Linked DNA regions of Oryzias latipes. The protein of the gene in region 1 purifies or fractionates together with the protein of each later gene. This does not show direct contact. Links are inferred from orthologs where the notes say so. Each region holds a gene or a part of one and is shown on either strand. Other genes may lie near its edges.

Region 1 (11,479 bases):
AAACAAAAAATGATACATCTTTGCTGAGCAACCCTAAAATAATATAAAGTATAAAACCTTTACTAAGGTAAATCCTGGTTACCTTTTCTTGTCGTTTCTCAAATGAAGACTTTAGTTCAGCCTTTTCAGGGCTTGGTGTTTTTAAAACCTCCTCTAAGTCCTCGCCTTCGCTGTCTTCATCTTCTGACAGATCAAAGGTCACTTTCTTTTTAGATGCTTCGGAGCGACTTTTCTGCTCATCCCTGGAAAAGGGCCGGGGGAAAAAATTCAAACTAAAAAAACAAAACAAAAACATTTCTCTCACGCATCTCTGCGTGTTATGCAACGTTGATCACGCTTACTCATCATCGCCCTCCTCTTCGGTGTCGTCTTCGCCATCAATTTCCTCACCATCTTCTTCCTGGCTGTCATCCATGTGGTCATCGTCTCCATCTGACTGCTGCTCATCTGGTTCATTGTCCACTGCATCAAAGAAGTCCTTGTACTTGAGATCTCTGGAACTCTTTCCCTGTTAGCAGAAACAGTTGGCATCAGTTGTTGTAGTGCTAGGACGAATGAGAATCTGCACAAACATCAGCCATGAGATTCATGGATTCCCCAGAGCGATGACTTAAAAACAAGCAAAAACACATACTGTCTTTTTCTTTTTGGAAGACATGACTTCATCCAAGTTGATTTCATCGTCTTCATCGGAAGGCAGGTCCCGAAAGTAGTCTAATTCATCTTCGTTGTCGTCTTCTTTGACCTCTCGCTTCTCTATATCATCAAGAAACGTCTCCATTTCTGACAGTTTGAAGAACTTGTCATCAACTTCAGAGGGAACCACTTTTTTCTTGGAGCCCGTCTTTCCTTTGTCCTTTCTCTGTTTCTCCAAAGCGTTCACGTCAAAGTCGATATCCGAGTCATCCTCCGAGTAATTGTCTGAGCCTTCTTCAGCTTCCACTGAGGATTTTTTAGACAGTCGAGGAAGCTGTTCGCTAACATTTTCATCATCTGTTGCTCCTTCTTCTTCTTCTTCTACTCCACTCTGGTCTTCCTTGTCTGCATCCATTTCTTCATCTGACAGTAACGTGAGGTTTCCATTTGACAAAGCCCCATCTATGGCATTCTTAAAGTGTGTCAGGACAGCATCGTTCTGCAGCTCCAACTCCTGCCAAATCTGCTCTTCATCAAAGTTTTCCACCACAAGCTGAGCCAGCGGGCTGCCTCCATAACCTGCAGGCTCCTGGGCTTTGCGGAGATCATACAAGGTTTTGGTGAGAGACGTGAACTCTGCTGCCACTTCGTCCTGCGGGCTGGAAAAGACAAAGACATTAAATTCAGTAAGGAGAGTTAATTTAGGAAAGAGTTTAAGACCAAACAATATCACTACAACTTAAATAAAAATGTCCCGTATCATTTGATACACTTCAGATAAATTTCCATCCATATTCAATATAGACTCCATGTAGTCAGTTATTTCCGCAATTCCTACAAAGACTATAATGAACCCCAGTGTTGTCTCAACACTGAACTAGATTGACATGGTATATTAACCCAAGTTTTTATTATTATTTACCAAGGCTGTGTCCCACCAAGGTGGGGTAGCCTAGACAAGGCACACAATTTTAGCTCCCTCTGTCTCTTCCCCAAACCCTCCTCCTTCAGTGCGTGAGTGCGTGTGTGCGTATGTGCGTGCGACTGGTCTGAGATCTGGTCTAAGCCACACCACACTGCACCAGGGTCAGCTGCACAGCCCAGTGTGGGCACCTCCACTGCAGGGCCTCAGCCAAGGCTGGTTTCCCCTTGCCGCTTCATCCCAAGACCAGACCTCTACCACACCCATCCATTCATTCATACACAAACTCTCTCCACCCATCCCTGTCCTGAGCAGCCTCTCTCCCCTGCACCACAGTCATCCCTCTTGCATTCAGCGCTCTTTTTACACCCTCTGTCCATCCCATTCGCGGTCTTCCTCTCATTCTCACTCCACTCACATCAGATTCATATACCTTTTTCACCAATCGCTCCCTTTCCATTCTTTCAACATGTCCAAACCATCCCAGTGCCTTTTGCTCTGCTCTTTCAGCCAACTCTCGCGTCACACCAGTTCTCTCTCGGATAACTTCATTTCTCATACGATCCATACGCGTCACACCACACATACTCCTCAAACATCTCATCTCAACTACATTCAGCTTCCTCTTTTCCGCCACTTTCAGACTCCATGTTTCAGCCCCATATAACGCTGCAGGCACCACCACACCCTCATACAATCTCCTTTTTGCATCCTTTCCCAGTGATCTACATTCAAACACTCTCTTCATTCCCCCCCATATCTTTCGTACTTCATTCATTCTAAACTCTACCTCTCCCCCCATTCCACCATCCACACAGACACACGACCCTAAATACTGAAAACACTCTACCTCTTCCAACAACTCCCCATTTAATGCCACATTCAATCTGCGTTCACCCTTTAACCTCGTACACCTCATCACCTTACTCTTTTCCACATTCACTCTCAACTTCCTTCTGTCGCACACCCTTCCAAACTCCTCAACCAGACGTCCCAAGTTCTCTTCTGAGTCAGCCACTAGTGCAGTATCATCTGCAAACAGCAGCTGATTCACACTCCATTCGCTGCCGTCAGTATTTATCATGCTCACACCCGTACCCGACACCCTTTCATTCACCTCTTTTACCACACCATCCATATACACGTTAAACAACCACGGAGACATCACGCATCCCTGACGCAGACCAACCCTCACAGGAAACCACTCACTCATGCTATTTCCCACTCTCACACACGCTCTACTGTGTCTATAGAAACTCTTCACACCTTCCAACAATCTACCATCAATACCATACATACTCAACACCACCCACAACGCCTCTCTATCAATCCTATCATACGCCTTCTCTAAATCCATGAATGCCCAAAACACCTCCCTCCCCTTAGCCAAAAACTTTTCACACACCTGTCTCACAACAAACACCTGATCCACACACCCTCTACCTCTCCTGAAACCACACTGCTCTTCACCAATCATACACTCAGTTCCCTCCACTACCCTATTAATCAGCACTCTCCCATATACTTTGCCTACAACACTCAACAGACTAATACCCCTAAAACTACCACATTCATACTTATCACCCTTACCCTTGTACAGGGGAACCACACACGCACTCATCCAATCAAGCGGCACCTGCCCATTTGCAAAACACACATTCAACAATCTCACTAACCACTCAATCACGATCGCTCCACCACACTTCAGGCATTCCCCAGCACACCCATCCACACCTGCAGCCTTTCCTACTTTCAACTTTCCCACAGCTTGCTCAACTTCCTCTCCTGTAATCAACGTTTCATTCAACTCTCCCAATACATTCAGTCTACTTTCCCTTCCATCCATCCCAATCACAGCATCCCGATCTTCCTCCACATTCAGCAGCCTCTCGACATACTCTGCCCATCTTTTCCTTACTGCATTCCCCTCATTCAACATCCTTCCATCCTCTGTTTTCACTTTCTCCTCCCTCCCCGACGCTCCCTTTCGCACCCTCTTTACCTCCTTCCAAAACATTTTCTTGTTCTCTCGAAAATTATCAGTCAACTGTCTGCCCCACCTTTCGTCCGCAGCCGCTCTTGCCTCACGCACAGCTCTCTTAGCATCCCTTTTCTTCTCCTTATAACACTCATATGACTCCCTGTCCTTTCTCTGCAGCCATACTTCGTACGCACATCTCTTCTCAGCTACAGCCAACCTTACATCCTCGCACCACCATTCACTTCCCTTTCTTAGACCACCCCCAACACGTCTCACACCACACACTTCCTCTGCACTTCCAACCACTGCACTTTTGAACTGTTGCCATTCTTCCTCCACTCCAACAACCATTTGCTCCTTCACCATATTCCACTTGCCACCTAATTCCTTCTGATACTCACACATTTTCTCTCTGTTCTTCAAAACACTCACTCTCAGAACTTTTCTTGCCTCCCCACTCTTTCTCGATCTCACCCATGGCATACCCACACGCAACCTTCCTTCCACCAAATAGTGATCAGACATACCTCCACACTCTCCCCTCCTCACATTTACATCTAGCAATCTACTACATGCAACCTTTGAAACCACCACATAATCCATCAGTGCTTTGTCAATCACTCTTCCACCACTCTGCCTCACCCACGTATACTTATGGATCTCTTTCTTTCTGAACCATGTATTCCCAATCACCATCTCTCTTTCAGTGCACATTCCTATCAGTCTCTCACCATTATCATTCTTTCCAGGAACACCATGCCCGCCAACAACACCCTCAATTTTCTCATCACCCACTCTAGCATTCAGATCTCCCATCAGCACTACATTCACATTTGCTCCAAATCCTTGCAAGCACTCATCCAAGTCGTTCCAGAAGGTCACTCTCTCCTCTTCATTCCTCTCACTGCCAGGACCATATGCACTCACGAACACCCACAGCTCCTTCCGAAATTTCGCTTTCACCCATATCAGTCTTGGTGAAACCTCCTTCCATTCAACCACACATCGTCTCACCTCACAGCTCACCAGCAAAGCCACACCTTCTCTTGCTCTCCCGCTCTCTACACCAGACATTCTCCCACTCACACTTCCAAACACACACTCACCCTTCCCTTTCATCTTTGTCTCACTCAGTGCTAACACGCTCATTCCCCTCCTTTCAAACATCCTTCCAATCAGATCTCTTTTGCTTCCGTCTGTACTACACCCCCGCACATTCAACGACCCAATCTTAAGGGTTTGGGGAGGTAATCTCCCCTTCCCAACTCTACCCTGTCCGTAATTAGGAATGTAGTTACAGGGGAGAGGATTCCCAGTCCTCTCGCTCCGTCCCTTTTAGTCGCCTTTTACGACACGCAGGGAATACGTTGGTAGTATTCTTTACGACCCCCCCTAACCACAGGGATTTAACCCAAGTACTGCTAAGTTTCTCAATGCTGCTATTTGTGTTATTTGGATCCCTGTCTTTTTCACTCATTTTATTTAAGAAATGTGTGAAATAAATAGTCTGTGTAACTTTAATGTGGAGCTAAACATTTATGTCTGTTTTTATTTGACATCATGATATAAGATGATAATATCACCTATTTCCTCAGGCAGGCACACATTCATTCAGTAATGTTTAGTTTTAATAAATAGATACTAAGTTCTGGAATCTGCATTTTTATACAATCCATTCTAGTGACTTGACAATATCAATCTGTTTCTTTTGTATGTATAGTATAGGTTTGTAAAAGCTGGTTACAATAATCTAGATAAATCTGATCATTTTATTGAACAAAACTGATTTACAACAGAATCCTGTGTCTGTGTTGTTCACCACACTAATGCTAAACTGTTGTCTGATACACCGCCTGCAGATGCACATCCCAGGCTAAATCTGTGTTTTTACATAAATGCCAAGTCTTAAATTCAGCCCTCTATTATTACTGACTATAACAAAATGTTAGAGATGAAAAATCCAAGCTGTAGGTTATTTAATGAAGTAACATTAGCATTGATTGCGCCACACTGTCTCCTCTCTCTGCAAAGATAAAAACTAACTTTTTTTTTATTCAATAGATGAAGCATAAACCAACACTTGCCTTAGAAAAATGTCTGGTTGTGCCGTATTCTCCTGTACTTTTTGGACACAATCTTCCAACAATCTAAACACATCTTCACTCGCCATTTTCCCGTCACATGTGTGACCCTCCCGTGTGCCGCACGTAAACACGTTCCAGGAGAAACCTGTGCTCCGCTGAAACTTGGTTCCGACCTCTTAACATGGCGTCAGCAATGCTCAAGGTTGCAGGTTTGTTGTTGTCGATTGTTTTCTAACAAACAGCTTTCCCCAACGTCTTCTGTTCTTATAGGATGACAATTATGATGTATTGTTCCCGATCCAGTCGTTAAAAAAGACTATGCTCAAGTTAAAACCGAGTTTGTAAGCTTGAGTTTCATCAAAATATCATGTCACACGACACGAGGGGGAAAAAAAATCAGTAAATGATGTAATGATTTTTAAATTTTGTTACAGTTGTAAAAATGAGCTAAACTTTAAAACGTGTCAACACGTTTTACACCTAATTTTTGTTTTTGACCGGTTTGGTTGTTGGAATGGAGGACTGACAAGTCTAAAGAAACACTTTTTTCTTCTTCAAAATAACAAATTATTCTAATAAACATAATTCTGTACATTATTTGCCAACAGCCGATCTAACTGCTGTCGTTAAAATTAGGTCTGATGATCAAAATCTCCTTATAACATTATTTAAATCCATAAAGAAGATGCAACCCAAATGCTGGTTATTCCTAACAAATATTTCTGTTTCAAACTGTATTAATGACATTTTTAGATGAAAGAATAATAGATTAGACTTTGCATTTTCAAAATTAGTGAATTTAAATCAGAATACAGTGTTTACTGCTATGAAAAGGCAAACCACACATCCAGCTACAGTTGTCCTGATTCATGTTTTTTGTATTGTTTATCCAGCAGCAGGCGTTTCCAGGTGTTTCACTCTCCTGAGGGGTGTCTCCACGACAACGCCGCTCTGCCAGGGCGTCCCCGGGGCCGTTTGGAAGCTGGGGAAGCTGAACCATATTGCCATCGCTGTGCCCGACATGGAGAGGGCCACAGCTCTTTACCGTGACGTGCTCGGGGCAACAGTAAGCGACAAGGTGCCCCTTCCTGAGCACGGGGTGTACACTGTGTTTGTGGAGCTTGGCAACACAAAGCTGGAACTGCTCCATCCTTTGGGGGACAAGAGCCCCATCTCTGGTTTCCTGCAGAAGAACAAGTCTGGAGGGATGCATCACATTTGCATCGAGGTGAGAGGTATTAGACAATAGGTCATTCAGGTGGCACCCATAGCTATACAACCATGATGATGACAAATTGCTTTGGTAGGAGGTATGTTTGCGTGTCAGTAGCAGAAAGAATAGGCGTGACCTGATGAAAATGACACACCTGAATGGAATTTTCTGTTACAGCATCGAAAAAGGATTTTCCTTCCTGACTGATAATCGTAGAATTACACACACAAGTCCTTTAATGGTTTTTCAAATGAGCCTTTCTCGAACATCAACATATTTTACCTAATCTCCCAGCGTTGGGTGAATAGAAAGAAAACCCCAAATGTTCCAAAGTTTTATGTGAAAAGTCTGGATCAAAATATTTCTTAAAAATCGATGTAACAGAAAGAATAATTACTAAAAATATAGATCTCTTACATTAGAGTCGGTAGACTTATAGAAAAACAAACCTCAAATTGTTCCTATCTTCGTTTAAATGTTTGTCCTCCTCTTGTGTTATCTACATGCATTATTTCTCACTTCAACTAAATAAAAAATATTTGAATAAATGTTTCATCTAAATTATACATCAGTTTAAGATGAAGCAATAAGTTTTCTTCACCCCAAACACACCTGCCTCAATCAAAACCACATCTTAGGTAGTGACTTCTGTTTTGGTCACGTTGATTTTTAAGGGCTTGTCAAGCAGGATAATGTTGTGGTTTTGTTTTGCAGCGGTAGGACTGGATGACGTGGGAGTCCTAAAATCTACCATAAGCATTTCCGTGTAGCAAAGACGTGTGAAAGCATGAGAGGGCAAAAAGTTTGACTAAAACTGAGTCACTTTACGGGACCGGAACACTAAACAAAAAAGTAAATAAACACACAGCACCAACTCTGTTTCTTAAAAAAGAAAAGAAACTAATCGAGAGTTTTGAGTCTAAACTCAAAGGAAATTCACTTGCAGAACCTTTGGAGAGTTGTGGACATAAATAACAAGAGTTACTTAGGTCTGCTGTATTTTTCCCACTTTAATTCGGTATTTTATTTGAGCTTCCATCCATCCACCCTTCCATCCATCCATCCACCCACCCGTACATCCAACCATCCATCCACCCATACATCCACCCACCCATACATCCATCCATCCATCCACCCATACATCCATCCATCCACCCACCCATCCAACCATCCATCCATCCACCCATCCATCCACCCACCCACCCATCCACCCACCCATACATCCACCCACCCATACATCCAACCATCCATCCATCCATCCATCCATCCACCCACCCACCCATCCACCCACCCATCCATCCATCCATCCACCCATCCATCCACCCACCCACCCATCCAACCATCCATCCATCCATCCATCCACCCATCCATCCACCCATCCATCCACCCACCCACCCATCCAACCATCCATCCATCCATCCATCCATCCACCCACCCACCCACCCATCCATCCATCCATCCACCCATCCATCCACCCACCCACCCATCCAACCATCCATCCATCCATCCATCCATCCACCCATCCATCCACCCATCCATCCACCCACCCACCCATCCACCCATCCATCCATCCATCCATCCACCCATCCAACCATCCATCCATCCATCCATCCACCCATCCATCCACCCACCCACCCATCCACCCACCCATACATCCACCCACCCACCCATCCACCCATCCATCCACCTACCCACCCATCCACCCACCCATCCATCCACCCACCCACCCATCCATCCATCCATTCAGAATGAGCTAATTCAAGCTTCCATAATTGTTTCTGATGCTTATCTTGACACGCGCCGCTGTTACACTGACACGTGTTTTCTTCCTTTTTTATATTCACAGGTTGATGACATTAAAGCTGCTGTGGCGGACATGAAAGCTAAGAACATCAGGACTCTGTCAGCAGAGCCTCGTATCGGCGCTCACGGGAAGCCTGTCATGTTTCTTCATCCTAAAGACTGTGATGGTGTGCTGGTTGAGCTCGAAGAAGCATAAGCATCTGTGCCTGGAACCAGGAGAAAACCTCCATTTACATGTATATATTCCACTAATGTGCATTGTTCCTTCTAACACTTCTCATTTCACTTCCTTTTTTTTTTCTTCTTCTCATATTCTCATTCATATTTTCATTTTGTATTTAAAAAAAATCGACACTCAAAGCCCACATGGACGTACAAAAACACAAACAGTAGGCAGACAGGTTTTCCATCATTTTAAACTAAATGTCTTATGATGTTCCCAAGCTTCCAACAAAAAATTTGCCCTTCTAAATTGTTGGAAAAATAAACACATACATAAACACATTAAACTTCAAAAAAAATGTTTCAATCTGTCTTCATCTGACATATCAAACAAGAATAAACAAAAATGAACCAGAAAACAGTTCACTTCTCAGATCGTGATGGTGGAACAATAAAACAAAAAAATATTTTTTTTGCATTTTTGTGTTTGCAAAGGGAGCATCTGTTTAAATTTTAAAATGTTGTCTCAAGATAATGTTTGATTTTTGTGTAAATAGCAGTAAAGATTCTATTTTGAGCATCAACTTGTGAGGATTCTTTTATCTCTAGTTTTAGCTGTTCCAGTCTTCAGAAAAGTTTAAAAAGGGTTACTTTGTGTCTAATTCATAAAAAAATAACTCATTGAAATTTCCCTCTCTAAAATGTGTGTGTGGGGGGGTGAATGATAAGACCATCTCAAGATATCAGTGCAAAACATACTTACTTAAAGATCGCAGTGTTTCTAGTGAATGTGTATTCATTTTAGCAAAGTAACTTTCTGCAGACTCTACTGAAGAGGAAGGACCGGCAGTCGACAGGCCTGCAGAGGATGTGGAGCCTCCCTCCAAAAACAAAAGAAGTGTAATCGCGCTCTGGAAACGCAATTCTGTAAAGAGGGAAACCGTCACAAAATGTTTTGTTACTCTGTGTCCTCCATGCTGGAAACTTTTAGGCATTCTGAGAATGGCCACATAACACAACTGTTAAAAAACGTATGAGTCACAACATTTCTGGAATGTTTCACTCGACTGGAAAACAAAAGGAAGAGCTTTCTAAATCATCCAAACTTTTCCGATACAAGCTTGTTACTGTGCTTTGATGTAGCATTGGAAATATATTTGAAACAAACATCAGGTGACACACTTTTATGAAATAAAATGATTGTAAATGACACTAAATTAAACCAGTTATTTAAGGTAGACATAAAGCTGATTATCCTATTTCAAGGTCACCATTAGGGGAGAGTTGGGGGGAGCCTTGACATTTAGGGAAGCCTTTACAGCTTTCTGTTTGTTAGAATAAAGGGCAAAATAAAATGCCCCAAAACATCTGTTTGACACACTGGGGAATTGAATTGACAGGTGGGTGTTATGTAATAATTTCACTTCCCTTCAAACATTTGTCTCTTTTGGAAAAACCCAAATTATTTTGTTTTTTGTCTTAAACCTGTGTTTGGTTGTGGTGTTGTGCTTTAAGTTGAAGTGCCTTTTAGGTTAAAAAACTTTAGTCGGATTAGATAAAAAATTATTTTTGACATTTGGCCACTAGGAAAACCTCTCATTACAAATATTTTTAGCAGCATTAAAAACTTTAACGCTTTAAAAACCCTCATCTTGTGCTTCTTTATAGCTTTATTCAGATCCATTTTCTAGTTCAGCAAAGGCTTCAAATATGAGTCACTGCAAAACTTTGAACCATTTTGTTGTAGATTTACAGATGTTTGCCATTGGTGGTTACTGCATGATGGCATGAAGGGCAGCTTTCAGGTGTTTAGTCATCTAAATGACAATGAAGCAGCTTCTGTTGCGTTGAAACAATGGCAGACGTGAACCCTGACAGAATTACATTTTCTGAGGCCTGAGGAGCTTCTTTGATAGAGAACGTATTTGCTGTTTTCATGGAACAGTGTTAACACACTGAATGTTCCAGCAATCCATCCATCTTCTGAACCTCCTACATCATTTTCAGGGAGGTGAGGTGGGAGTCTATCCCAGGTCCAGTGTGAACCCGGCTTTTGGCCCAAACAGCTGGGATAAGCTCTGATCTATGTCCTTCTGAACAATATTGAATTTAAAGTTCATGCCACTAAAACTTCCACTGCAGCAAAAGTCCTTTTAGCTTGTTTAACTGACTTTCATGCAGATACTCTCAAGCTACATTTGAAAATGGGAAGAAAAGGTTCAGAACTTCTGCTTTTCTGTGAGGAACATCAGCTAATCACGTCACCTGTCCTTTGAGCAAACACACTGAAACCCGTTTCGACTAGTCATTTGGAGAACAGGTGATGTTTAAGCTCTACCACAGCCTTGCTGGGAACCATATTTTCAATCTGCGCACATTTGCACACTAATTGCAGGTTGACTATAGCAATTACACTGCTCTGCAAGTTTTGTGTAGAGAAACAAAACCACACAGGATACTGAGAATCTTCTCATGCATTAGTCTACAACTAAAGATAAGCTTTAACATTTGACTGCATTGACTGGAAATTAGGTTTGAGAAATCGAAATCAAACTGAGTTTATTCCAGCACCTGAACCCGAGTTGAAATGCTCCATTTGAAAATAAAATGAAACACAATTCAGAGGGGTTGGATTTATTGAGATTAAGAAACAACTCTCGGCACAATACAGCAAATAT
Region 2 (11,574 bases), on another chromosome or scaffold:
AGGCAGGAATCCCCACAGAGGATCTGTGTATCCAGTTCGTTTTGTGAAAACAAACAAAACGGATGCTGAATATGTAATCAAATCCCTTAAAGTGGATCAGGAATAGTACAAATGTGTCAATTAGACGTCTGGCAGGGACTTCCTGCCCTTTTCATGAGTGACTTCCTGTTCCAGAGCTGCACCACCTCTCACCAAACCAAAGGCGGGGTCTAAACCCACGGAGCGCACAGGCCACGCCCCCGTCTTCCTTACGCTGACCCCAGCAGCAGTGGAGCAGCCGGCCCGACCCCAGAAGAAGAAGAAGGGTCCCTCGAGGGCGGAGGACTCGGACACAGACCCAGAACCCCCTGTGGCCCAGCAGATGCTGTCTTTCGTCATGGATGACCCTGACTTTGAATCTGAGGCCTCTGACACCCCCAAGATTGTAAAGGTACACCGCTGGACGGCAGTGCCCAAGCTCCCGGCGCTGCCAGCACGCCGCCTCATCAGTGCTGTTTGAAGGGGGGAAGAGAGAGATGTTTGTTCACATCTGTGTGTCTCTGGGTTCACCTCAGGAGACGTTTCCGCTCAGAGACGACCTCCTGTCCGACCTCTCTGACGAGGACATTCCTGCAGTCACGGCGCCGGAGCCGCTGAAGCCCACTGTGATCTCCTTCAAGCCCAAGGACGACGCCGACCTGTTCGGCCTGGGCATCCGGGAGGAAGCTCCTGCAGCGAAGGACAGCAGCGAGGAGCTGGAAGGTGAGCCGCTGTGGAAGAAGTTCCCGTGATTCCTGGGTTTGCTCAGCAGCTCTTCTTATGTTTTAACTCTGAAAGGACACCTGCCCCTTTAATGACCTCAGGCTGGGAACAAACTTAAAAATTTAGGTCACTGATTCTGGCCGGTCTGTGGAGCTGTTCATGCATGTTCTGAAATAACGCAGCGTCCCTCTTTTTCTTATTTTTTAGAGAAAGACGGCAAGCCCTCCTCCAAGGAGAAGAAGAAGAAGAAAAAGAAGAGCAAGGAGGTACATTTTTCAGCTGCTGCTCTTCTGCATGTGAGATGCTGCACTCGAGCGTCAAAAGGTTTAGAACCGGGTCTGCAAGCTGAGGCTCCAGAGCCACAACAAGGGCCTCCTTCTGCCCTCCACTGTGGCTCTTTGGCTCTGAAGAAAAATGCTAATAATTTGAATCAATTATGGGTTTGTATTTTTGATCCATTTGATTTAGGTAAATAAGTTTTGTCATTTAGGTTTAGATATTTACCATGTCTGATAAGCATCGGTAAAAGGTTTAACCTACAGGTAGAGTCGTTTTTAGACCCTAAAGCACATATTCTTATCTTCCACTGAATAGCATATTTTTGCTGTTCAGAGGCAAAACTTACATTTAAATGCATATATTGTTTTTAAAGTCAACCATTGTTGTCATGTTTATACTGATGGTAAACAGGGAAAAAAAGATAGACCAAAGTTAAAACGCTAAAAAAAATTCCATGTTTGGTGTAGCTTTCTTGACTGGTTAATTCTGTTCAATCTGCAGCAGCTGAAGGATCTCATTTGACATTTTATTTTAAAAGGAGCTTTCATTTCTGCTGTCAAAAGTAAATAAGAAAAATCTGACACTTTCTTAATCCTGTTATAGTAAATCTGTAACACTATAATGTATGAATGACTCCCTAAAAACCATCAATAGAATGCAGTGAAGGGGGGCTTTGGGGCTCTCTTTGGGCTCGGTCAGTTGGTCCAAATGGATCTTTTTGCGTTTCAGGCTGCAGACCTCTGGTTTAGAAGTTTAGCTGAATCCAGTTCAGGTTAAAGCCGTTTCTGCACATCAACCTTTTTGACGGTTGCAGATGTTGAGATTACCGCTAATGATGTTCTGTCATTAGATGGAATATTTCCAAACTTGCAGCACTGATACGGTTTACAGAATCGACATGTTTGGCGCTCCTGTAAGCTGCAGAACACGCCTAATGTGAGCTTGTTTTTGTTTTTGAGGAGTTTATCATGGACATAGCTGGTCGTGAACCATACTGTTTCAAACAGAAGAACGAGAAGTCTTCTGGTCACATGAAAGAGATCGGCTGTTAAATGCTGAGTTCTTGTCCGCTTGCAGGAGGAGGAAAAGAAGAAGAAACACAAACACAAGAAGAAGGAGAAGGACGAAGCTGCAGCTACAGAGGAGAAGGACAAACGGAAGAAGAAGTCCCGGTCGAAGAAGTCTGAGGTGGATGAGCTGGAGGACTTCTTGGGTGGGGGAGAAGGATTGGTCAAACGAGATGATGGAGATTATGAAGAGCTATAAAAACCGGCGCTGAAGCGAGACGTGTGACGTCCAGAGGAGCAGAGAGGAAACATCGGCAGTCGCTGTGAGCGGAGAGCTTCAAGCCATAAACCAAGCGAGGCTGCAGGAGGCTCCATCTCTACTCCTGCTGTCACTCCCATTCCAGCCAATAAGAGGAGGCAGCAGGAGCCATGCAGACTGTGTGGCTGCAGAACCTGAATGAGTGTCTGGATTTCAGTTGTACACGTGGTCTCCGCTGAGTGTTTGTGTTAACGTGTGAGCATGCTCAGTGATGACGGTGTCTTCATCTTCCCTTTAATTCCTTCGTCTGCTTGTTCTTTAGTCTTTTTTTTTTTTTTGCCTCTGTTGTGCAGGAGAACCATGTGACCCACGCTCCTACCCCGCCGCTTCAACGAAGCTGTGCATCACCACTCGCTTTCAGTTTACAAGCTAACAGACAAGCCGCTGAGCCACAGCAGAACACTTCCCGGTTCTGGTGGTTCTGAATCATTAGAACCTTGTTCTGTTTGGCTGCTCCACCCTATTATGTAGTTTCTGCTGACACAAGCTCCTTCTGCCCATAACATTTGCTGTGGAGAATTGATTTGTCCCCCCCATTTCAAGTGTTCTTACTGTAAGCTGGTGGGTCACATGACCCGGCTGTCACCGCCTTTTATTGGTGGATTTGTTGGCTCATTCTTCTTTTGTTTTCTTTGTTCTATTTATTTCTGCTTTGATGCAAATGTCGGATATTAGTCCTGGTTTTGCTTTTGTTTCTGCTCCACAGCCGCTCACTCCGACAAACTCCATCCAGCTTCCGGCTGCATAGCTGCAGGCGGGGGGAGGGGGGGCGTGAGACACGATGGACTCAAACGAGGCTCTTCAGCCCCCCCATCACCCGAATTAACATTTAATACTCCCAGCGTTCATCTGTATTTGCACACATTTCCACTCATTCATGGTTTAGATGAACAAAAATAACGATTTTGACATTTCAAAGTTGAAGCTATGCAGCATTTATCTCCAGTACTGTTAGCATTTTGGACTCTTTGTGAGGATAAATGCTGAAGGCCGTTTTAAAAGTCCACTCGAGTGCTGAGCAGGAACAAAATGGAAATAAACGTTTGAAATCTTTGTTCCAGCATGGAAACGCTGTCGGCTTCCTGCCTCTTCTGGCGGCAGTGAGGACGTCAGAGACGCTGTATCATCATGAATAAAGCTCTTGGTTTTTCTTTTCTCTCATGACCCATCTGTGCTCTAAGAGTTTACCCATGTTTGTCAAATAAAAAACTTATTTCTTCATAACAGGACAATATATTTGTGTGTTTATTAACTCTTTTCTGTCTTCCTGCATGCCTTTCATCTGACAAGCCCCTTAGAAATAAATTTTTACCCCTTTGACAAATTTACTATAAATAAGCAAAAAATCTGCCAATGGGGCAAGAAAAATGGTCTTATTGTTTTTTATATACCTGGAATTATTCTATTATATATAAATATTTAATATTTCAAGAAAAACACTTCTCAGATTAAGATTATTTTGCTAATAAAATCTTTTAGGTAAGATGAATTTTTCTTGCAAGACAGAAAATGTTCTTTACTTTAACCCTGTTTAACCAGGGAGGTCCCACTGAGATTTAAAAACTGTTTTTTTCTCTATATTTAGGAGAAGAATCAACAAAAAACACAACGAGCAGGCAAAAGCCCTTTTATTATGTCTAAGAATAATTTCTTGAAAACACAAGGTTCTTTTTACTTTTTTAAGATTTGTTTTTTGCAGCGTAGAGCAGGAAACGTGCAGCTCCAGAGCTCAGAAGGAACCTGTTCAGAACATTCTGGATGATAATCCTCAAACTCTTGTTCAGAGCAGATCTGCAGAATCTGTTCAGCAGAATCAAAGCATTACATTGGAAAAAATTAAATCCCTTATCATCCTAATATAAAAAAAATGCGTTCACATGGGTCTGAGTTTGTCTGGTTTCGGGTGCAATAAGTCTGGCTTTTTATGTTTCCAGTTAGTCTCCCTGAATCCACGGCTTTTATTTTGAAACGCCGGACACGCTGTAGCAGGCGCTTTCATTGGCTACGCCCTGAGCCAATCACAGGCAGTTTTGTTTCTCCACGCTTCCTCGCCCACGTGACTAGCATCGTGAATCTTGCTAGCATAATCCTCATCATGGTAAGTAGACTTAAATCTGTGAAAATCTATCGGTTTAATGGTTTTGTTTATTATTTAAATAAAGTTTTAGTCTGAATCGGAACCAGGAAATAATAAAAGGTCTCAAACGAAGTTCAGCTTGAGGCTAGATTATCCTGCCGAATGTTGAAATACTTTAAACTTTTTATGCCGTCTTCTTAGTAGATCGACTTAAGCCATTGTTTTCCCGTGAAAATCTGTTGCTCTGCATTTAATTTGATTATATTTTTTTTTGCTTTTGGGCGTTTTCGTTTTCGCCTAGACCGTAAAACCTAACCATTATGGATCAGGTTTTTGTCCAACGGCTGCTGTGCTAGTGTTTTTTTTTTTTTTTCAACAAGCTCAAGCTGCTGCACGTGTTTGTCCTTTTTACATCCTTGATTCTGTGATCGATTCATGTCGTCTTAGTCTTACTATCATTTTTACTCCCTACACCTGAATGGACTCAGCTGATCCTGGTATTCAGGTGTGGCAAACACAGAGCCGTTAAGGAAAAGGTCAGCACAGGTTCCTCAGACTAGTTAAGGCCAGAATTTCAAACCTATCCTGGCTGGATGTCATCATTCAGCTTCAGTGCAGAACCTCTCAGATGGACAGGATGAAACTCTGCTGTGAAACGAGTCCATCCACCAGGCGCAGTAAAAAAAAAAAGCTGCATGTTATGTTTGTGCTGAAAGCCCCTGAACCATCAGAACCCCTTTCACACTGGGTCTGTCGTTCTGGATTCCCCAGGTGTGAACATCTGTGTGTTTGAAGCTGCCTCTGTCCTCCTTTCTGCAGCTTCGTCGGCAGGTCAGGCTGAGGCGGGAGTACCTGTACAGGAAGGCCCAGGAGGACCGGCTCCGGACCATCGAGGAGAAGAAACAGAACTTGAAGAGCGCTCTGGATGGTGAGAGGCTGCTTTTTGGTTAGAGGATCTTGGACTTTTTAGGGCTTCCTGCCATTCCTTTACACTGAACATTAGGAATTAAATACCCAGATCAAAAAATAAATAAAATAGGGCTTTTGGTGTTTTTAACGTGTTCTTGTAGCATTTTTCAGACGATGGAAGACCTATATAAGGAAAATTAGGCTGTAAATTGCAATTCTGAGTATGTTTTTATTTAAACTGTTGTGAATCAGGAGCAGACAAATATTTGCTGCACAGAAAATACGCCGGGTGGGCCTCAATCTCCCTGCTCCGCTCCATTCCGAAGCATCCACCTGCAGACTTAGAGATCCATGAACGTCACGGGCTGGAAAACTCGCGATATTAGTGATCAATATTGCAATAACGATATAACCTGTGGTATATGAACAAACGGCCAAACAACCAAAAAACATCATTCCCGTTTTATTGGAACAGTTTAAATAGTATACTCCAAATGACCCTCGTCTACATAGAACATAAACATCTAACATAAATAAGGCTCCATCTGATTGGTCATGAAGATGTCGATCTGTTCGGTCAAATGTATAAACGGATACATTTGATTCGTTAAACACTTCAAGCTGGCATAAGTTGTTTTAGCACACTTATTTACCATTTATTGCAATTTTTGCCGTCTTTTGCGATATGCATATTGCACAGCTTGATATCGCGATAACGATACATTTCCCATTTATTGTGCAGGCCTAATGAACGTCTTTGTTTTCCTTGTCTGAATCTGGATCCAAACTGTACGGCTGGATAGCTCCTCTAATGCTAGCCATTTTTGTTGCAGTGCTAATGTTAGTTTGGGGCTGTAAGCCAGCAAGAGGCAAATAAACAGATGGGTGACGGGAAGTGGGAGCGGGCCCGCGATGCGCCAACAACCCTGCCCACAGGCGAAATTCTAATAAACTCATTCTGCTCTGCAGAAGCTAAGTCCTAGAAAATGACAGAGGTTTTTAAAATTGTGCCTAAAAACGACATCATCATAACTAAAAGATCACTGGGAACGGTTTGAAAAATGATCAGAGTGAGTCTGAACCAAAAACCATCTCCATGGGGGGGTAACAAGGATTCATCGGTTGTTGTTTACCCTCCCTGACACACTACAGGTCAGCCTTCCGGTGCTCAAAAAAGGTCCGTCAAAGCTGATGTTCTGTTTGTGTTCTGGGGGTTTTTCTACCAATCACAGTACTCTGGTGTTTGTGTCATGTGACCTGAAGGTTTCGTAACAATGTGTTTGCGATATTTACACGCAACTTCACTTTTTCTTTTTCCCCCCTGCTGCTTTTGGTAACTCGGCGTTTCCCCCGTCGTCTTAAGGTTAACACGAGCTCCCTTCTCTCGCCGCAGAAAACCGTCTACTTCCCACAGAGGTCCGCAAGGAGGCTCTGCAGCTGCAGAAGCTGCTGGAGTACGACGACGAGGGGGCAGAGGGTAAGTGCTGCCGCGTTCCAACTTCAGCGCCCTGCGGCTCCTCGTCTCAGGTTCGATCTCCTCAGGTGTTAGCTCCCACATGGACGATGAGTACAAATGGGCCGGAGTGGAAGACCCAAAGATCATGGTCACTACATCCAGAGACCCGAGCTCCAGACTCAAGATGTTCGCCAAGGTGGGTTCAGTTTGTCCACAGCTCTGCAGTGGAAGTCCTGAGGATGAATACAGAGAAGAAGAATTGAGTCACACTTCAGGAAGTTTTTAGATGACCTTGGAAGTTTGAGCTGACGGAAACCAGAGTGAAGACACCACATGGATCCATCCTGATCCAGATGTGGCTCATGTCTGACGGTCCTGTTCTCTAGAGAAACAGGAGCTTCCACCTCTTTAAAATAAGTTTTCCAGTTGGTTGAATCACAACAAAACAGGGTGAGTGTTTCTGTGAGGCTGTGCACCAGGATGATGCCTTCACTGTCCTCTCTGCAGGAGGTAAAGCTGATGTTTCCCGGGGCGCAGCGCATGAACAGAGGAAACCATGAGCTCCCAACACTGGTGCGAGCCTGCAAGGCCAACAACGTGACAGACCTGGTTATTGTGCACGAGACCAGAGGACAGCCAGGTATGCGCTCGTTCAGCGTCACTCCTGCGTTTAACCAGGTGCTGGTTATTTAGACTACTTGGTGGCGGTTAAGTCCTGCAGAAACTCTGTTGTCTCTGCAGACGGCCTGGTGGTGTGCCACCTCCCCTTCGGACCCACAGCCTACTTCACGCTCTACAACGTGGTGATGAGGCACGACGTTCCTGACATTGGCACCATGTCTGAAGCTTACCCCCACCTCATTTTTCACAACTTCACTTCCCGGCTCGGCAGGAGGGTAAGCGGTGGGGCCGCCCCGTGCACACTCCTCACAGCTGTTCACACCGAACGTGGATTTGTGTCCGCTGCCGCTCTTTTGACTTGCGTCAAATTTGCTGCTGGATGCTTATCCAGAGATGTTCTCATAAACATGACACTCCCACCGCATGTGGGAGGAGCTACATCGCTACGTGGAAGCAATGGTTGTGTCCAAATTGGTGGTCTGCGTTCTTCCTGGGCTGCATTTGAAGTGCTGTCCAAATTCAGCAACTCCCACAAATGCGGCCATCCAGCACTGCCCTCTTTCTTCCCAAATTTCAAGGATTGGTCTGCTGTATTCTTCTATGCTGTCCATATCCCAAGATGCATTGCAGCCAAACCTGGAGATTTTCTGACAACAATGACGGACTGTGAAGTGGGACCTGGAGTTGGAATAATTACACCTTTTTATAATTACTCCTCCAAGATTAAAAGTTGGATCAAATAACACAGGAAATTTTTGCGCTCCATGCCTGGTTCGCTACTTCTTTCTGTTCCGGACTCACAGTTTCTAGGCGACAGGACATTCGCCGATGTAATGGCTGCAATCATCTAAAGGCTAGACTCGTCCAAATTCACAGTCGTTAACATCCGGCCTACCCGCTCAAAGAAGGACCCGGCCAACGTCGCCTGGGAAGGATGTGGCTGTTGAAGGATGCAGCTTTAATTCATGGAAGACTCAAAGGATGTTGAAAGATCATATTTATTTATTTTTAACAAGCTCTAAAAAAACGGCAGTACAGTGATCCATGTTTGGGTTTGTGAGATCAATCAGAGACCCTCCCAGGACGGTGAGATTCACCATCTACTGCAGGAGCTGCAGCTGAATGACGGACGCTTTCAGCGCTACTTCTGTCTCTCTGTGACCCAGTTTGACGACTTGGTGGGAGGGAAAAGATACACATCGAATAAAATTACAGGACCTTACGGTGCAAATAACAAAAGTATCATAAAGTTCAGGAGGACGATCAGATTTTCCTCCATGTAGATTTGGATGCCACCCGCTGGTCACATCATCAACACGTCACGGGCCAAAGCAGAGTCCCTGATTGGCTAACTCAATTTGTCTTTTTTGCCAAGGTTCAGATATTTAAAATGTGAAAACACTGCGCCGCAACGCCTGAAGTTCACTGGTGACAAAATGCGGCGCATGACGGTCAAAACGCGTCGCAGGACCTCTTGATTGTTTTTGTTAATTGACTTAACATTGAAACTGGACCGTTGACTGTATACGAGAACTGGACTGAGTGTGGCGTCAACCATTCCAACCAAATGAAGTCAATTCAGTCGACTTTTTTTTTTTCCAGCAATACTGCCGTCGCCATGTTAGAATCAGTCGACGTCAGTAAACAGTGATTGGTCCAAGTTGGTCTGAGTCAGGGTTTCTATGGCAACCTCTCTCACCAATCAGGAGGGGGCTTCTTGGAAGTCCACACCGCTACCACTGGGAGGCGTCCTCAGGAGAATCAGTCAAACATTTATACTTTCATTCAGACATCTGATTGGTCAGTTTATAACTTGCAATAACAAATTATATCATGAAAAAAATTAGGATTAGCAAGAATATGTAGGAGAGCAAGAATGGTTATTCTGACAAATAGAATGACTGAGTTATCGCTGTTCATTTCGCTATGTGATTTTGGCTTCTTTGATCCAGCGGGTACTTCCTGTTTGGAACGCCATGGGAGAGGGGACATTTAGTCCAGTAATATGGCCAATGAACTGGACATGTGCGAATAATGCTTGGTGTGAACGTAGCCTGTGATGCCCTTTGCCCCTACAGGTCTCCAGTATCCTCAAGTACCTGTTTCCAGTGCCAAAGGACGACAGCAGGCGAGTGATCACATTCGCCAACCAGGACGACTTCATCTCCTTCAGGTGGGTGTGGACCCGCCCCTCAGTCAGAGATGAGAATGCAGCATCTCTGGAAAACAACCCAGATCTTCTGTTTCTCCCTCAGACACCACACCTACAAGAAGACAGACCACAGGAATGTGGAGCTGACGGAGGTGGGACCCAGGTTTGAAATGAAACGTAAGTTTGGAGGGAGGAAAGTTCCCGCTGCGCTCGTGTGAGCGGCTTTAAAGTCCCTCTGTTTTTACCTTCAGTGTACATGATCAAACTGGGAACTCTGGAAAACGAGAACACGGCAGAGGTGGAGTGGCGTCAGCACGGCTTCACGCACACGGCGAAGAAAAGGAGGTTCCTCAGCGTGCAGTGAGAAGAAGTTCCAAGACCACGACGGACTCTTGAACAACGATGGCTTTATGCAGCAAAAAGGGTCTAACGGGACCTCGGTCACCATGGATGGACTATTTTATCTGTTGCTGTTTTTGTAATTAAAAAACCTTTCAGCTAAAATCCACAGGCTCTTGTTTTTTTATTTTCTTTTAAGCAGAATCAGCTTTAGTTTGACAAAACTTAAAACTCTAGGAGAAGCTTTTATGTGTCAGATCTTATTTATTTCATCTCAGTTTAATGTTTTATACTTCCAAAATAAAGCCTAAATTCAAATTTTTGTTTGCAGCGTAGTTGTATGACAGAAATAAAAATGCATTTGTATAATTTTTTAATTTATTTTTATTTCATTTTGTACTGTATTACATAATTCTATTTTGCCGTCTTGTTTTTCATCTTAAGGAAGATTTTGTTTAAAACTTGCTTCTAAATTGTCTCATTATACAATATATTTAGTTTTTAATCAAAGAGGGTCAGATTTGATGAAGTGAAAATGTGTGAGGGTCAACCATTTGACCAGGATTCTTTGAATTATTTTATGAACAATAAATGCAAATGGATATTTTATTGCAATGGGATACTTGTCAATTCAAACTAATGTTTAACAAAAATCACAATTTTTTGCTTGTCTTGTATGGTATCCCCTCTTTCTATTGACCAGCTACTCTTGAAATATCAGGCAGACACTGTTGTCTCATGTTTCGCTGAAAAAATCTGCCGGTTTCCACTTGTCCTGGAGGAAGTGGCCCTCACTGTCAACTTTGCTTTTTTATTTCCTGGTGGCATTTCAGAAATGAGCTAGAAAGTTTCACAGAGGGGTTGCACGACAGGTTAACAAAGGTTTAAAATATCAACCACAATCAAGAAATCATACACGGGTTCTAGAAAAGGCGGGGGGCCACATATTATTGATTTATGAAAGGAGCCTGCGGGCCGGTTCATATTTGAATGCGGGCTGCATTTGGCCCATGGGCCGCACTTTGGACATGCCTGATTGAAAGGGATTGTGTTTGGGAAAATGTGGGGTTGAAGTCGTGCTAAAACATACAATGTCTAACAACCTGGCAGTTTGAACCCTGGAGCAACCAATTGGTGCACAGTGCCAGTCCTGAGCTATTCATGTGCTGTGATAAATCTGGAAGGAAAAACTTGGGATGAAAGCAGAAAGTGCCTATTTATTCATAAAAATACAGATTAGAAAAAAATTGCTCTATAAATTCAATAAGATTGTATCTATGTCTCTAAAACTTAAAATGATTACACTTAAGGAATTTTAAGTATTAACAAGTTTGATCGCAATTATTTTTCTTAGATAAATGCCTGTGGGCCAGAGGGAGATTGAACTCGGGCTGAATTTAGCCCATGGGCCGGACTTTGGACACACCTGATCTAGAGCTATTTTCAAATCCGTTTCTGCATTTGGGAAAGGTTGAAGCCTTGCTATAACACACAATGAATATAACAGCCTGACAGTTGAACCCCTGAGCAAACAATTGGTAAACACAGATGAACCTACAAAGATGTACCTGCCTGCACAAGGAAACACTTTTGGGATAAAAGTGCAAAGTGACTGTTTTTCCCCTCATAAAAATCAGAATTAGAAATAAAATAAAAATTCATGGTAGGATTATA

Evidence for each region.
Region 2: the proteins of mphosph10 (region 1) and imp4 purify together in Homo sapiens (affinity purification with mass spectrometry; 3 studies listed by BioGRID and IntAct, with this or other methods). This does not show direct contact. The link is inferred for Oryzias latipes from reciprocal best matches to the Homo sapiens genes MPHOSPH10 and IMP4.

What each region holds. Positions count from the first base shown.
Region 1 is NC_019861.2:17,877,000-17,888,478, forward strand, and holds the start of mphosph10 (U3 small nucleolar ribonucleoprotein protein MPP10), read right to left. Parts: upstream 5,742-11,479; 5' UTR 5,710-5,741; coding exon 5,624-5,709; intron 1,296-5,623; coding exon 635-1,295; intron 509-634; coding exon 342-508; intron 243-341; coding exon 83-242; intron 1-82. Other genes in the region: mcee (methylmalonyl-CoA epimerase, mitochondrial), read left to right, coding at 5,805-5,832, 6,517-6,851, 8,683-8,835. UniProt on the Homo sapiens protein: Component of the 60-80S U3 small nucleolar ribonucleoprotein (U3 snoRNP). Required for the early cleavages during pre-18S ribosomal RNA processing. Part of the small subunit (SSU) processome, first precursor of the small eukaryotic ribosomal subunit.
Region 2 is NC_019867.2:28,395,511-28,407,084, forward strand, and holds imp4 (U3 small nucleolar ribonucleoprotein protein IMP4), read left to right. Parts: upstream 1-4,339; 5' UTR 4,340-4,441; coding exon 4,442-4,444; intron 4,445-5,242; coding exon 5,243-5,351; intron 5,352-6,725; coding exon 6,726-6,809; intron 6,810-6,874; coding exon 6,875-6,984; intron 6,985-7,295; coding exon 7,296-7,428; intron 7,429-7,529; coding exon 7,530-7,684; intron 7,685-9,487; coding exon 9,488-9,582; intron 9,583-9,664; coding exon 9,665-9,738; intron 9,739-9,812; coding exon 9,813-9,925; 3' UTR 9,926-10,065; downstream 10,066-11,574. Other genes in the region: rabl6 (rab-like protein 6), read left to right, coding at 175-430, 555-741, 949-1,007, 2,098-2,286. UniProt on the Homo sapiens protein: Component of the 60-80S U3 small nucleolar ribonucleoprotein (U3 snoRNP). Required for the early cleavages during pre-18S ribosomal RNA processing. Part of the small subunit (SSU) processome, first precursor of the small eukaryotic ribosomal subunit.